Oreochromis niloticus: one gene and its partner. The protein of the gene in region 1 binds, or shares a complex with, the protein of each later gene. Links are inferred from orthologs where the notes say so. Each region holds a gene or a part of one and is shown in the gene's direction. Other genes may lie near its edges.

Region 1 (8,365 bases):
TGTATTTAATGTCTTTCATTACTCGCAATTTAGACAGAACTTATTTTCAGAATTGATGTTTCTTGTTTTCAAATGAGTCTAAACTCACACAACAGAGGTTTAGAACAGAGACAAACACAGTCAGCAACAGAGCAAAGGATAAAAGTCTGCTTCTTTTATTTTGTTGTTCATGTTATCTCTGTGTATAATAATTACGCTCTTATCTAAAGGTTCAGAAATATTTAAACAATCATGTGCAACTCTCTGTGCAGGGCACAGTACCGTATATGTTTACATCATATTGAATAAATAGCTGGTTAGAAGGAAACAGACCTAGTAAAAAATCTGAACATGTACCAAAAAACACAGAAAACAAAAATGGATTTTAACTCTTCTCACACACTTAATACGCTTATTAAATAATTTTTTTTTAAAAATATCATTATCAATATCATCACCCAGATGTTAGTGAAGTCACATCCTTGCAGCCTCAAACGGAGCATTTTGGCCATTGCTGATTGAGGAATGGACAGAGAAATGAGGGACTTCATGCCAACTACACAATTTAGTCCTAAAGCATACCCTAGTTTCTGAACAAGCATCATGTTGTAAGACTTGAAAGTAGTGACTGAGATTATAAACTCATCAGGAAACTGTTTACTAAGATCAAAATGTAAAGCAGCTGTTTGGCTGTCCTCCATACAGTCAGATAAGTCTCCCACTTTGCACTGTTCTTCAAACCTGAAAGCTGCATCTTTCTATGTATGTTCAGCTAATGAAAGCTGTCCAATCTGCTGATGCTGGAGCTGTTAGAATTAAATATCATCAGCATGCTGGTGGGTCATCAGCACTCTCCAAATGAAAATATTTCTCTTTCTGGGAAAACGTGATGAAACTCAGTGATCGCTTAGCTTCTTCTCACCGTCACTGCTCCCCTGCTAAGACAAACAGAAAACAGAAAATGAAATGTCTCCTGTTACAGTAAACAGAGTATCAGTTACTAACAAAGTAAAAACAAGTTGCTGCATTTTATTAATATTACTCACTGTTTGCCAGCTGGAACTCTGAAATACAGGCAGAATAATGAAAAACAAAATGATTAACATGACAGAGTTTAGCAAAGCCAAATTATCAAATAACTCACTAAAAATATCACCAAAACTATCATGTAAGTACATATAACTACAACGTGCATAAATTCGAAATTCATTATTGGAGTAAAATCTGCTGTAATCTCACCATTACTGTTTCTTCTCCAGATGAAGAAACCAAAGACTGCCAGGAGGAGTAAAACTCCTCCAACACCTCCAACAACAGGACCAACAGGAAACACTGAGGGAGAAACTGAAAAGGTCCAAAATGTTGGATCATTCACTCTGCTGCCAAACCAAGCTGCTGTTTCCAGTGTTAATGCATCACTTCTGAACATTGTATGTGGTTAAGAGAAACATTTTCTCATTTTCTTCTTCAACGGTGTGGTTCATGAAATCTGTAGTAGCCAGATCTCAGTTTGTTTGGATCATAAAGAAGAAAAATAGTGTTTGTGTTTAGGATGGTTTGCAATGTAAAAGCAAAAACTGTAAATACTGCTTCAGCCTAATTTAATTATGCATTTTTGGCTTTTTTGTTATCAAACTTCTCCTTAGTGTAAATGTTAGCACCATTATTCTATACATGGTTATAGGATGAGGTTGTACAATATTTGGTGTTTTTTATATCGGTTCTATGATCGGATTTGGCACATTTGAGAAACTTTAGCAGATCAGAGGTCCTTTACTCTTAATTAATGTCTCCATTGTTTCCTCTGACACTGTGCAAAATATTTTTTAATTACATATAGTTAAAATGACATCACAAATGAATTTCTGTTGACTCAAGAATTTCATGCAGACATTTATTTGTTTCAAAGTTTTTTTAAATATGATGGTGTTGTAAACTTTGAGATACAGAACTTCATTCCTGAGCCTGTCTCACCCCAGTTTGTCCGGATCGCTGTTTTGTCCAGTTTGGTGATGATGTCTTCCTTAACGTCAGAGAGCTGAAACACACAGTCGTACCTCCTCCAGTCGTCTGGCTTGATTGATGAAACATTCAACTCAACACTCATCTGGAAGCTCCCGTCATGGTTGGGGAGGATCTCTCCATGCTCCACACCCTCATGAATTTCCTCTTCGTCTCTCCTCCAGAACATCATGGCTCTCTCTGGGTAGAAACCTGTAGCATGGCAGCTGACTAGAGAGGAGGGAGTCCTCTGCAGGAGAGAAACTGAGGGAAGAACTGGGAAAAGATAAAAACAAAATAGGGAGAGAGGCTTTATCTGGGACAGCTGATAATCATGGATGAAATGTTTGTCTATGCACTGGTTCATTTTCCTTGAAATGATAATCTGGAATAGAAAGAGAAAGGGAAGCTTTTGCAACCATATATAATAGCATATGTAATTCTACCTGTTCTCTGCAGAAAGCTCCTCCCATATTTCACATACTTCTTCAGCCAGTCGGGGCACCTGTTGATGTAGTAGTTCTTGTTGTGTTCTAATCGGGGTTTTTCAGTATCCCACTGCAGTTTTGTGACGACAGCCTGTGGTTTAGGAGCAATCCATGTTAGTGTCTGCAGGTCCAATGCTATGAAGTCTTCCCCATCATAACCATACTGATTAAAACCTGTGATTGTATCAGTCTCATCGTCCCATTCACAGCCATTCATCCTCTGAAAAATGTGAACACCTGACAGAGAGAGAGAGAGAATGCAGAGCCAGTAAAGTTGTGGATGGTTAAAGATGATCAGAAAGGTAAATCCTGCTGCAAGTTTTCAATATTTACCATAAAAACAACACAAAGAAATCCTCCTCTTTATTATTCTTGTCCTTGGAAGTAACCATTTACTTCAGCTACTGTTGATGTACATAGTGACAGTGACCTTGTATATGGCAGGGATTTTTCTTGCTATCCCTCTAACACAACAAGTTAAACTAGGCCAATAATTTATTATGGTCACTAGAACAGAGTCAATATCTTACTTGTAATTTTACTTATGTGGTAGACTGATTATTTTAGGTGTGTAAATGAAAACCCCCAAATAAAATGAAATAAAGTATGATGGAAGGATGTAACTCTCACTGTGTGTGTGAATGAAAAGAGCAACATTTAAGGTAAAGGGTGATATTACTGTACCTCCAGTTTGGTTTAAGCGCTTCTTCAGACTATTAATATTGGCTCTGAAGACCTGCTGATTCCCAGAGCACTTCTGCGTGTACCACTCCAAATGCTGAGGATCTTTTTTTATTAACTCCTTCATCCATTCCAGTTTGGGTTCAGCTCTCCTGATGCTGCTGTCACAGTAGCCCACTAAAACCCCATCAACTACAGCCGCACCAACAAATTCTGGGAAGTCTGAGATCCCAGAGGAAGCAGTGATGAAATATTTCAGGGAGTGTTTCACTGTTGAGGAAAACATGTCAGCGATTAGAGCACCAATAGAACAGTGGTTTTATTTATAATGACATTTTACTAATAATTCAGTAGTTATTGTTCTTTGAAAAAGTGTCATTCTCATAAATTTTAAGCTAATTTAATCAAACCAAAGTCAAATCTGTCACAGAAAGCAACAGTTCAAATGAGGACTGTTTTTATAGGACTGGCTGATTCAGGTTAAAATAGCAGTTTGTCGCTTTGTAGGCTACACTGCCCCCCAGTGTTTAAATATGATATAATAACAAATAAATGATGTTGTGCTTGTTAATAGTCTCATTTAAACTCAATAGCAGTATTAGCAGCAGCCGATGCAGCAGAAGGAGTAGTGGTACTATTTGTTGCTGATATAAAACTAATTTAGTTACGTTAATGGGAACTGCGTGTGACTATCTCAACGGGTTGCCAATGTCAGCAGTTCTTCCTCGTGATATAAAACTGCGGATTAAACATCAATAAAATGAACTGAATTAGGAGGAGATGTTTCAGGAATGCATTTATGAGCTATTCTTAACTTCCTCCTACATGTAAAAAAATGGTAATTTAGGGGATCATAAAATTAAAGACGAAAGTAAAACTAAAAGCGCAGCATCAGAGTTCCGTTATACAGGAAGAAAGGACAGTAACGGCTGCTACAGACGTGCTTTACAGGAATAAGAAGGAATCATTTTACCTGCAGATGAAACGTGACAGGAGAGGAGAAAAAGACACAGGCTATTCATCCTGTTTGTATGAATAAGATGGGTCCTATATAGCTAAAATAGACAGCTGATAAGAAATGTGAACAGAGAAGCTGGGGGTGTGAAAGCGTCTCTGACCAATAACGTCACATTTAGGTGCTGGCACAACAGACCGGCCGGCTATATGACCTGTCATAACCTATAGTGCTGAGTGCGAAAGTGAAGCACTGCAAAATAAGCTACTTTTTTTTTGTTAAGGACTGAGCAAACCACATTTGCCTTTTGTTTCAAAAACATGTTAAAAGGTCATATGTCAGAAATGTGTCTTAGTGTAAGTAACTTTTAGGACCTAGAAGACAAAACCATTGTCCTCATAGTTAAAAATCTGGATTTTTAAAAAATGTATTTTTAATGTATCAATTATTTAAAAAAAAAAACATATTGTGATGTATATTGCAGTAATGACTGCTTCATCGAACGATTATTATCACTGGATTCAAAGCAACGTCTACTTCAACAATATGTGCTTTTTTCATAAATATTAACGTTATTTTTGTGATATTGTTCCTCTTTTAAATAAAAGTTATCTGAAAATTCATAAAACATAAATGTGTAGAATCTGTATTATTATTATTATTATTATATTATTATTGTTGTTGTTGTTGTTGTTGTTATTGTTGCTGTTTTGTTATGTCATGATAGACTCTCTCTCTATCATGAAAAAGTGTGATTCCTTCCTTTACATAAATAAACAAAACCGTCAGTTATTCGAGGCAGGATGTTTATATCCTCCCTAGCTCCGGGATCTGGCTGTCGGTATCACATATCTCGCGATAATTTGGTTATCTCCTTTAAATCAGAAGAAATGATATTCTTTTTTTATTTTCAGTTAAAAGTTTTAACATGTGACTATAATGCTTTATAATAAATAAACATGTAATTTAATCTAAGTAGTGAGTAAAAAATTGTCTCAAGAGCACCACAACAGGAGGAGGTAGACTTTGAATGGAACGTGATCCCGCGAGATTTCGGTTAGTTTAGTTGAGTAAACGCCACGTCTTATTCTCAGCCATCAGCAGCATCAACGTAGGCAGAAAGATTGGTAGTTCTGAGCGCAGGATAGACGGTTATCAAGTGGCAGACACTCACTGATATCTGACACTATCTGGTAAGATTTTAATCTTTATTTTTTCTGTTATCAAGTTGCATTCAGACATGTTGCTTCTGCTGCAGCAACATGCTAGCAAGTTAGTTACTAGCTAGCTAGCTAGCTAGCAGACTTTCCTAACAGCTAATTGAAACCTGCGGTCAGTGGTCCTCTTTGAGCGGCTTTTGCTGTTTACTTTGAGATTAAAGTTGATGCTCTCCACAGGGATTATCCACTTTCACCCACCAAACAGTGAGCAAATAAACAATCACAAGAGAAGACAAAGCTAGCTCAATCAAAGTCAGGTTACCTTCACTTCATTGTATCGTCACAGCTAAAGTGATACGGCTGCAGGCACACATCAGCAGATGCTGCTGCCCATACATACACATGCAGCGATCTATTACAGTATTATATCAAAGCAAACCAGCTAAAAGCACAAAAAACAGAAGTTACAACGTGGGTTTTTTTTTTTTTTTTTTTTTTCGATTTGAAGGGCTTAGGTCTGCAGTCACAGCAGTGGACAGTTATAATAGCTTCATGCAAACTCCTGATGAATTAGGATAACTCGCTGTTATCTTGGTCAGTTAACAGGTCAATCGCCTCATTTGGTCCGGATCTGAAACACATGTGACTGGAAATGCGTCCGGAAGCGCACCGGATGACATACGTAGTCATATTTTAATAGAAGTTTAAGCTTATTGAGGTTTATTTGTTGACGTCTCAGATCTTGGAGAATAGCTCTGATCCTGCATTTAATGAAAGTGCTGGTTTCTGCAGTAACTTGTTGCACCTTCTGTACATATGTAGTGTCTAATTTCCTCTTGAAATAGCTCATAAATACAGATGGATATCACACAACCTGTTAGGGCCAAAGATTGATTCTGACTCTTTCTGTTCTACTTGTGATTTTTAAACCCACCATGAGCAGAAAGGGATCGTAAAATGTGGCCAGATGTTTACTGGTTAAATAAAGACAACGTGGAGGACTGTGCTGGCTGAGCTGCAAGTGCAGACAGAGATAGATGAAGGTCATGAGTTGCAGCATTATGTCCAGCACAGAACAAAGAGGATAACTAAGACAGAATCTAATGTCGTATACATGCGTGACTGGGGATTTGTACTTCAACAGGAAATCTACGTCATAACCACAAACCCTTCTGAACCCTATGCTATAACCTACAACATAACCAAACATGCAAACATCGGCTCTATGCAGCCCACAACTATTATAACTGTCCTGTTGAGTACCAAAGATTCCTTCGTGTAAACATGCCCTCTGAGTTAGAGCCATAAACTGTATATAAATGATGAACATAGCCATTATTGCATCACCCATTGGTCTTGGATTCTTCTTGTTAACGTTTCAGTGTTCTGTATTTGACTTCTGCCATGTTAGTGCTTTGGAGCTGGAAGTTACCATATTTGGACCAGAGAGTGGTAGTTATCATTTGATACTAGCTTGGTTACCAAGCTGCATTTTTAAACTGCTTAATATAGATGAGACAAGTAAAGTATTACAATGTCATTGACAAATGTTCAATAAGGCACTAACAACACAAACAGAGTCATGAGGTGCAGTTCAGTGACTCAAAGTGTGGTCCACCCGACACTGATCAGCTGCATTTCCCTGTCTATCAGCAGCCTTAATCTTAAGCCTGAAGAAAATAAAACTGCAGTGTTACAAACAGATTATTAATGATGTGGAAACTATCCACAGAGGGGAATTTTATAGTTAATTTTGCATCAAACCTTTAAAAATGTTCTTAATATCATTTGGTTGGACAGTTTAAACTGAGAGTCTGTTTCTTCACTCTCACTTTGGCTTCAGTTTTCATGCTGCTGGGTTTTTATTTATTAGATGTCTTCTTCTCTTTTCTCTACATCCCAGGGTTTTAATATGGGCTGTGTACGTCTGCTGGCACTGACATTGGCAGCATCTGCAGTACTATTGTTAGCATCTCATTTAGCCACTGCTCACAGCCATTCCCATGGTGACCATGGACACACCCACTCCCACGGCCACCACGGCCACTCCCACGGAGAGGATGATCATCACGGGCACTCCCATGGCTCTCAGGTGAAGATGTTCCACGGAGCAAGCAAGTGGAGCGCTGAAGCCAACCTGCAGGAAGAGGAGCATCACGATCACGGTCACGATCACGGACACGATCACGGACACGATCACGGCCACGGCCACTCTCATGATCACGGACACGATCACGGCCACGGCCACTCTCATGATCACGTACACGATCACGGACACGGCCACTCTCATGATCACGGACACGATCACGGACACGGCCACTCTCACGATCACGGACATGAGGATGCTCATCGTGAGAATGTTGTTCGAGTACATAAGGAGGGAGGTGGACACGGGCACTCACACGGAGGGGAGAGGACGAAGAGGGAGGCGGGGCGCGAGAAGAGGAACACGGTGGAGCTGTGGACACAGGTGAGTGACTGCTTGTTTAGGTTCAGAAATTGGGTTTGAAGACAAATTAATCATTGTGCATAAACTTTTTTTTCTTGCTGATTGTTAGAGACATTGATGCAATGTTCATGTCTCAGAAAAACTATAAAGCATCAAGACAAAAAACGTCTGTCTCATAAGCCTCCAGTAAACCACTTCTTTCAATTGTCAGATTTAAAATTTTTGTGAATAATAACAATAAATGGGTCATAGCCACAGCCTAAGAAAAATTATATTATTATACTCTTATAAGTACTTTTGTTAAGTGCAGTTTTTCAGTAAAAAAAAAAAAACAGCCTGGAAAACTGGTCAAAAACAATATGAAAATACACAGATTATTTAAATAAATTAACAAATGTTCATTTGACCATTTATCATCGCCAGTAATCACATGTACTTAATCAGATTACATTTTGTCTGTAAAGGAGAAATATCTCTTTTTACTGCACTTCAAATTCAGTCATCACAATATGTTTACAAATCAAACAAAATATGTCATTAATTATTTTCTCTAATTATCTACTTGATGCTTGTAAAGAAAAACGTTTGCCATTTTATACACAATTTTGCAGCTGTTGCTAGACTGCAGGCAGGTCTGTCAGAGCGCTCTACA
Region 2 (8,747 bases), on another chromosome or scaffold:
GTAGGTTTGTTACAGGCTTGTTGGAGATGTAGGTTATTGTAGGTGGAGGGCTTGACAAACCTTCTAGTAGGTGATGGACTCCACAGTAAACCGATCCAAGGTAAGGTGATGCATAGGAATCTTTTGAGTCATGCTTAAAGTTTTGCCTTTCATTACATGCGCAAATTAGGTCACACTGGAAAACCACAGATATTCACCCCAAACAGCCGGTAATACAAGGATGAGTAGAACAGATAGCTGGAAACGGGTTAAAGCAACATATTTTCCCAATTTAGCATGAGAACCTACCAACACTTACTTTTCTCCAAGCCCTTTCCTCTCCTGTCTATACAGAAATTCTGATCTGAACGATACAATCCGAGCTGCCCTCAAACAGCATCAGTAATATTGTCCTCCTTTTCCAACTGCTCATCACATCAAGAGAGAATTCATGGTCATGGGAAATCTAGCTGATGGATTTTTTTTCCCCTTAGTTGAAATATTTGACTTATGTGAAAATGGATTTACCTCTTTGAAGACTATAAAGTCCAGTGATGTGGCACAACAGATAAACATCAACGAAGACTAAAAAAATGTCTGGGAAAAATGCTTAGCTTATACAGGTGCATTGTGGTAAGTTAGTAAGTATTTTGTGAAACCTAATAAACAATGGCACCATTATTTGATATCCTTTAATATAAAACAATTATCAAGCTCTAATTGAAGAGGTTGTCTAATTCAACAGGCAAATAAAATGCAATCCCTTCCAAGCAATCAATAAGCCAGTCAGGAATAAGCAAGTGACTTAAACTTGACCCAGCATTTGTTTGTTTTCTTTGATGCAGGAAGCCAGGTCCCTCTGGAGTGTGCAACTAATCTCCAACTCTTCCCGTGCAGCAACATGGTCTCCGTTCACTGATAACATCCCCCTGACCTTTAAGAGGAAGCATCTTTTCAGTGAAGCAATGCCAGGCATTCTGCAAGCTTACGTTATTGGGAGAAAAAGTTGTGTTTTTCTCTCTGAGAAGAACCAGCCGGCAGAGCCACTTCAGAACCAATTTGTTCAAAATCACAGATGTGTGGGTTAGCAAGTGCATTTTGTGTACTAGGGGGACACAAAATGACCATACAATTGATCTCAGGGAAACTTAGAGACAGCCTCCCTGGGTTTCCAAACTTACCACTGAGGCAGATTAAACAGGGTTTTTCACAGTCAAACAGTGTCCAATTAGATTCTGTCTGTATGCAAAACAAAACAGTCTGAGTCCAGAGGAAGCTGTCTTGGATGAAATAGTGCTCTGCCGGCACGATCTCCACATAGTTCAGCTATTCTGCTGCAGACTTCTAGGTGATGATGCAGCAGGGTAGCCTAGCAATAGATGCCAATGCATGTTTTGTACTGACACAAGGTTTAAAACTAGCCAGGCTCCTCTACAGGCAGTAAACAACTGCACAGCCCATCACTAACATGAGCAATGCACAATGTAAACGAGGAAGCCAAAATTGGCATGATAGCCTAAAGTGGATAGAGAGCTTACTTCAGTAGGGTTACACCGTAGGTGATCGTGGATGACCAAAGTGATAAGTGACAAATCCTTGAGTTGCACTACACTGTAAGAGAAATTCTTCAGTCTAATTTTCTCTAGTCTGAAAATGTTGACTTTTCAGACTAGATGTATATGTTGTAGACCTAATTTTCTCTGCAATATTCAGCTCAATAGCAAGCAGACCAAACCTCTATTGTTCACTGGGACAATTTCATTTGACATCCCACTGCAGCAAACGGACAAATGTAATATATACAAAAAATTGAGAACTTTATGAAATCCAAACATCGGCAATAGCATCATATGAACATCACAAGTCCATAACACCTCTTCCACCACCGTGAAGCACAGATGGGTGGAAAAAGCCCTGAAAGTTGGTGATTTATGAAAACAAGGTCCTTGCCTACCAGGGAAATTTACTGGAAAACGCCAATAGCTCGTTCAAAGTTATCGTACATGTTCAGCTATTTGCCTGTAAGTGAAAAAAACAGGATCATGCGACTTGTGGACGCATTTTATTGGGACTGCCGTCTGCTCTCATCGTTCAAATCTAGTTCGCCAAGTTACCAATCTCAACTATCAAGGTGTCCCAGCTACCGTCCTTCCTACTATAATCCTGTCGTATTTCTATTAACCGAGTCCGTCTCTTTTTAGTCTGCTTTAGTCTGTTCACAATGAACAGGTTTAAAGAAGGAAAAAAGGTTCTCACCTGCTGAACTACGGTGCTGTAATAAGATAGCTCACAACCGAGTAAGAAGAGCGCTCAGGGTAGCGCAAGACGGACTTACACCGTCAAGAGACCCGCGAACACTGACACAACTTCTGGTAGAAACTTTCAAAGTAAAGTTGCGCAACAAGTCTTGGATTCTTGCTTGTCAAACTTCCTTTGTTTTTGCTTGTTTTCAATATCAGATGGCACAGAGTTATGTTCGGACCGGAAAATTCAACGTCAGTTTCTGACGCCACTGAGCAATAACCCTTAGATTGTCTGGCTTCCACTTTTATATGATTTTATTGTGAAGGGAAAATTACACAACTCGATCTAGCGTTCTTCTTAGGGTTGGTTAACTTAACGGAGGTAAGTAACCAACCTACTGTATGACCGTCATATTAAAACAAAAGTTGTTTTTTATTAATAATTATTAAAAAATAAATATTAGTACTATTATTACAAAGCAAAGCTCTCGCTATTAAGTAGCCATTTCCCCAATTTATGTACTTTAATTGCTTATTTTAGCCCTAGTTGTTTTTGTGTGTTTGCTTAGGTTTTCTTGACGGATTTAAATTTGACTGTTTGTGTGATGGCAGTGTGAGTTAAATCCTCAGACCACTTTTAGTCAGTATTAAGTAAGTCTTGTTAGAAGCTTATTTCCCTGAGTGGACCCTGCTGGCGTTTCATCGAAGGAGAGAAGAGTGAGAGAGAGCTAGCAGAGCGGTGATGTAGTAGCGACATCTGCTGATGAAACACTGCTACTAACATTACTCCTAGTCAAATTCAAGGCAACGCGATTTTCTGTTACCTCGCGTTTACAGTCTTGTATAGTATAGAAGTCAATTTCGGCCATTAAAAAGAAAAACCAAATCCAGAAATGTTAAAGACCAAAAAAGTTAGTCATGATTTAAAGAAATTGTCACAATTTGACTTGCATGTTAAAATGATCAGCTAAAATAGTCGGCGTTTTTAAAAAGAAAACTATCATTATGAAACCACAAAGGTCAATGGTGAGAGTTTTGAAAAACTGAAAAGAAAATGAAGGCATGACAAATTGTTTAAAATTATGAGGGAAAAATCTAAGTGATGGGACAAAACATGCAGATGGCAAGATAGAATACCAAATTGTGAGATGAAAAGAGGAGCTAGAAAGTTATAAAGGATAAGGTCAAAATAAGACGAGAAAAATTATCACATAAGAAGTCCAAAATTTATTCTTTCCTTCTCATTTTCCAAAGGCATCAAGTGGTCTTCGAACAACAAGTGCAGCCAACCACGCCCACTTTTTATCTGCTCATTATGTCCGGAAATAAATAGCTGTAGCAGGAGGTGTTGAAATTCGTTTACTTCTGCAGGTGCAGGTAAGCCTCATCTCTTCGCGCGCCGTGCAGGTATGTAACACATGCTGAATTTCAAACACTGCTTCCAGGGTCCGTGTATTTCCTGGGCATTCACTGCATATCTGTAGAAATGTCTCCCAGAGAGCCTCTTGGATGCGTTTGTCCATGTCGAGGACATGTCTGCACACCTCCCTTTCTGTTAATTATAGTGTGACACTGTACTATACTTTAATGTTATATAGAATATAATCTTTAATAAAATTAAAATATAATATTTTTTCACAACAAAGAAGGCTTCCACTGCTGCTTCTCTTGGGTTCTAGTTACATTTTTATTTATAACATTTTCATCTAAACCATATAAATGTAAATGAGTGACAGCTTCCAGCAGTTTTCAGCTTTGGAAAGGAGACATTTGAAGATCAAATTCAAAAAGGTTGCTTTTGAGCTTTGTATTTGAAAGCCCTGAGTGAATTCATCTGGGAGAACTTTCACAAAGTCAATATTTGAACTATTCTTAGTGGAGTTTGTTTTTGTGTGCACGGCCTTGTTAGGATTATCATGTGGTATTCCCTTTGGGAAAGAAACAGACTAGAGATGAACACACTCTTTATTTCCAAGGTCAATCACTAGGATCACTATGTGACTCATCTTGCTGGCTGTTCTAACCATGCAAAGTATGAAAAAGTTCTCTTGAGCAGCAAAACAGGACATGGTGCAGTTGTTTCAATTATTTGAAACCTAAAGTAAGGAAAACCAATTCAAACAATGTCTAGACAGTCTTTTACACAGAATTCTCTTAGAAGCTTCTCCCAGTAAAACAAATGAAACTGTAAAGTTAAAGGAAAGCTTCTCACATCTTTGAGCTGCTGCAGACGATTGACAAACTGATGCTAAATGACCTCATTTTTACATCGTTAGCATTTTAGTGGTAATCTGGTGAAGTGTGTTTTCTTGCTTTTAAATGGCAGATGTTTTTTGCACATATTTTATGAATTATGAAATGATGCCTAAGTTGATTCAATCAGTTAAAGGTTTCTCCATGGCTGTCTGTTACCCACAGCAAGACTTCTGTCGTGTATTGAAACTCTAATAGGTTTGAGAAGCCACAAGAGGGAACTTGACTCATTTTAGTTCAGTGGATGAATTGTTGGCATAATGTCAATATGCAACAGCCAACATCATCTCTGTATGCCTGCTGGTAATGGGAATGCAAAGATAGCTAAACTGCAAGATGGGGAGACGCAGTGATTAAAGGGACAAATCAAATTTCTTTGAGAAGCAATTCTTGCCTCTTGATGGCATCTTTTGTAACACCTTCAGGCACTTCAAATTCTCCCATATTGCTTTAAATTATTTCAGTGCCCCATTTCGCTTTTGCAGTCTTGTCTGAAACTGAGGCCTTGCAACATTGCATTGTCTTCATGTTTTGTATAATCAATGCCAACTAAAAAAAGACAGCAATAGCCACTGTTGTTGTGCATTTGGTTTTGATCCAGAAGTAACCATATTTGGACAAAATTGTGTACTATTTAGATGCTTACTAGTTTGGTTGGAAAAATTCACATATTTGCTCATTGGTGCAAGTAACAGACTTTTTTTTTTTTTTTTTTAAATATCTTTAAACCTTGCTAGATTTCTAGAGGAAACATTCCTAGTGTAGAATAGCCTTTATATCAGTCCATAAACATGCTCCTGTTTATGGTTGGAGGGTGACTCTGTCACAAGACTGCAGGATACCAGGAGTCTATGGAAAACTGGCCCTGAGTTCCCTTGCTCTGACCTCTTTAAACATTCCCGTTTGAGATTGGTTGCTACTTTCAGGCTGTTGAATAAAATGAGGTGCATCTTCACATTTCTAGTCCTATAGTGCAGTAACTTATCCAGAGTTTGTTCATTGGTCACTGACCATTTGTTAGCCAGTGAGCATGCTCTTGTTTCTTGGTCAGATCAAACCTTGCATCATGCCTGGTTGCACAATGCCAAGATTACAGCGAACACTCTGCTCAAACCTTAAAAACTGAACTTCACTAACAGGTGATGTCATGTGGCAACCTCAATCTTTAAAATATTCACTTACAATAAGCTGTGGTTTGGGGAGGAAACGACTGGAAAAACTTTTACATATTGCAGGAAATGATTCACGGGCGCTTTAAATAATTGCTGGGTTTTAAATGAGGTGATAGGTCCTGGAAACCGGTTTTTTAGGTCTAATGGACACGCCTAAGCATAGGGTGGCGGTAAAGCGCGCATAAGCGGTTTAAACGCCTCCAATAAAGCCAAAAGAAGACAAAGCATTGCCTTTTTGTTGTCATATTGGGCAGAGACCCTACAGATGGCACTGAATTGAATATAATAAGCTAACAGTGGGATTAAGTACATGGTAACGGGCCTTGTTGAATCCTCTGCTTTCCCCGCAGGTTTGTTTGCCGTCGTGTAACCGGACACATGCCTCTGCGTGTTGCTTTGCAAGTGGCTGCTGTTCGCCTCTTTAACATCATCTAATATTAACCACGGCATTCTGGCCACTTTGCCTCTTCTCTCTCGGTTTGTCATCTCTTCTGCTCAAGACTTTGTTCATTATGTGTCCTCTGCAGCTGAGGACGTTGCTTTTTGTAGGGTGGGTCGTAGGTTACGTCGCCTTTCTGCTCTCAATCAGGAGGATGTGGACCGGGAAGTACATCCGAAATCCGGTTGTCCGCTCCCTCCTGGTGAACATGCTGAGCGACCTGGATACGATAGACGTTACAAAGGTAGGTTACCTGCGAATGGTCCTTGTCGCGACAGCGGGGGTTCTGTAAAGGGTAAAACGACGCTTTGTGAAATACTGGGAAGTTTGAATCAATTGTGCAGGTGTTGGACTAAAAAGTGATCGTTTGCCAAAGTGATTTCCGGTATTTGCACAAAAATTATTGCCCGTATTTAAACTGCTATTGACTTGTTGATCTATAATATGTGAAAAGGATGGCAAACAAGTTTCTCGTGGGTATGAGAGGGTAATTTTGAGCCACGAACTTCATTCCTGTCACAATGTAGACACATGTGCTTTTTTTGGCAAAGTGACGTGTGTGTGGAGAGAGAGAGGTAGAGAGAGATCTATCTATATATATATATATATATATATATATATATATATATATATATATATATATATATATATATATATATATATATATATATATATATATATATATATATATATATATATCTCACACACATACAGGGAGTGCAGAATTATTAGGCAAGTTGTATTTTTGAGGAATAATTTTATTATTGAACAACAACCATGTTCTCAATGAACCCAAAAAACTCATTAATATCAAAGCTGAATGTTTTTGGAAGTAGTTTTTAGTTTTAGCTATTTTAGGGGGATATCTGTGTGCAGGTGACTATTACTGTGCATAATTATTAGGCAACTTAACAAAAACAAATATATACCCATTTCAATTATTTATTTTTACCAGTGAAACCAATATAACACCTCCACATTCACAAATATACATTTCTGACATTCAAAAACAAAACAAAAACAAATCAGCGACCAATATAGCCACCTTTCTTTGCAAGGAGACTCAAAAGCCTGCCATCCATGGATTCTGTCAGTGTTTTGATCTGTTCACCATCAACATTGCGTGCAGCAGCAACCACAGCCTCCCAGACACTGTTCAGAGAGGTGTACTGTTTTCCCTCCTTGTAAATCTCACATTTGATGATGGACCACAGGTTCTCAATGGGGTTCAGATCAGGTGAACAAGGAGGCCATGTCATTAGTTTTTCTTCTTTTATACCCTTTCTTGCCAGCCACGCTGTGGAGTGCTTGGACGCGTGTGATGGAGCATTGCCCTGCATGAAAATCATGTTTTTCTTGAAGGATGCAGACTTCTTCCTGTACCACTGCTTGAAGAAGGTGTCTTCCAGAAACTGGCAGTAGGACTGGGAGTTGAGCTTGACTGCATCCTCAACCCGAAAAGGCCCCACAAGCTCATCTTTGATGATACCAGCCCAAACCAGTACTCCACCTCCACCTTGCTGGCGTCTGAGTCGGACTGGAGCTCTCTGCCCTTTACCAATCCAGCCACGGGCCCATCCATCTGGCCCATCAAGACTCACTCTCATTTCATCAGTCCATAAAACCTTAGAAAAATCAGTCTTGAGATATTTCTTGGCCCAGTCTTGATGTTTCAGTTTGTGTCTTGTTCAGTGGTGGTCGTCTTTCAGCCTTTCTTACCTTGGCCATGTCTCTGAGTATTGCACACCTTGTGCTTTTGGGCACTCCAGTGATGTTGCAGCTCTGAAATATGGCCAAACTGGTGGCAAGTGACATCTTGGCAGCTGCATGCTTGACTTTTCTCAGTTCATGGGCAGTTATTTTGCACCTTGGTTTTTCCACACGCTTCTTGCGACCCTGTTGACTATTTTGAATGAAACGCTTGATTGTTCGATGATCACGCTTCAGAAGCTTTGCAATTTTAAGACTGCTGCATCCCTCTGCAAGATATCTCACTATTTTTGACTTTTCTGAGCCTGTCAAGTCCTTCTTTTGACCCATTTTGCCAAAGGAAAGGAAGTTGCCTAATAATTATGCACACCTGATATAGGGTGTTGATGTCATTAGACCACACCTCTTCTCATTACAGAGATGCACATCACCTAATATGCTTAATTGGTAGTAGGCTTTCGAGCCTATACAGCTTGGAGTAAGACAACATGCATGAAGAGGATGATGTGGACAAAATACTCATTTGCCTAATAATTCTGCACTCCCTGTACATATGTCTGCTTTTGTTTGTTTGTTTGGTTGTTTTTTTTTAAAGGGAGATCTGGCTATTTCAACAAATATAACAGTTTTATAAAAATATGAACTGCATTGATTTAAAATGTAGGTACTCTAACACAGTCATAAATGGTCATTTCTTCATTTTATATACAACTTCTTCATAAATTCTGTTACGCCCAGTATAGGCAAATGTATAACCCTTAAAAATATACATTGAAACATCAGAAATCACTTGGCACAACACCGAGGTTGTATCAGTGGATTCAAAACTGCCTGACACCTGCTGGCCACTTTTTAAGCTCAATTAATGATACTATGTGAAATGATGACTTGCAAGTGTTGCGCAATTATAAACGGGGCGAATAATATGGGTGTGGTTTTTGAAAGGGGAAA

What was found.
Region 2: the proteins of slc39a7 (region 1) and mettl9 are in contact, whole or in part, in a crystal structure (PDB 8GZE), measured with the Homo sapiens proteins. The link is inferred for Oreochromis niloticus from reciprocal best matches to the Homo sapiens genes SLC39A7 and METTL9. Residues at the interface, in NP_001070984.1 of Homo sapiens: Gly65, His66, Thr67, His68, Glu69; in NP_057109.3 of Homo sapiens: Arg114, Thr115, Asn118, Arg123, Gly124, Met126, Met179, Asn210, Asp213, Arg214, Val241, His245, Tyr247, Glu249, Trp255, Tyr295, Leu296, Cys297, Glu298, Asp300, Tyr306, Val307, Leu308.

Annotation. Positions count from the first base shown.
Region 1 is NC_031985.2:6,813,664-6,822,028, reverse strand, and holds the start of slc39a7 (zinc transporter Slc39a7), read left to right. Parts: upstream 1-5,142; 5' UTR 5,143-5,297; intron 5,298-7,167; 5' UTR 7,168-7,176; coding exon 7,177-7,734; intron 7,735-8,365. Other genes in the region: major histocompatibility complex class I-related gene protein, read right to left, coding at 904-917, 1,026-1,043, 1,219-1,323, 1,954-2,256, 2,427-2,705, 3,153-3,419, 4,123-4,171. UniProt on the Homo sapiens protein: Transports Zn(2+) from the endoplasmic reticulum (ER)/Golgi apparatus to the cytosol, playing an essential role in the regulation of cytosolic zinc levels.
Region 2 is NC_031973.2:26,775,746-26,784,492, reverse strand, and holds the start of mettl9 (protein-L-histidine N-pros-methyltransferase), read left to right. Parts: upstream 1-5,349; 5' UTR 5,350-5,957; coding exon 5,958-5,997; exon of another isoform or gene 5,998-6,124; intron 6,125-6,147; exon of another isoform or gene 6,148-6,159; coding exon of another isoform or gene 6,160-6,196; coding exon 6,197-6,330; intron 6,331-8,747. UniProt on the Homo sapiens protein: Protein-histidine N-methyltransferase that specifically catalyzes 1-methylhistidine (pros-methylhistidine) methylation of target proteins.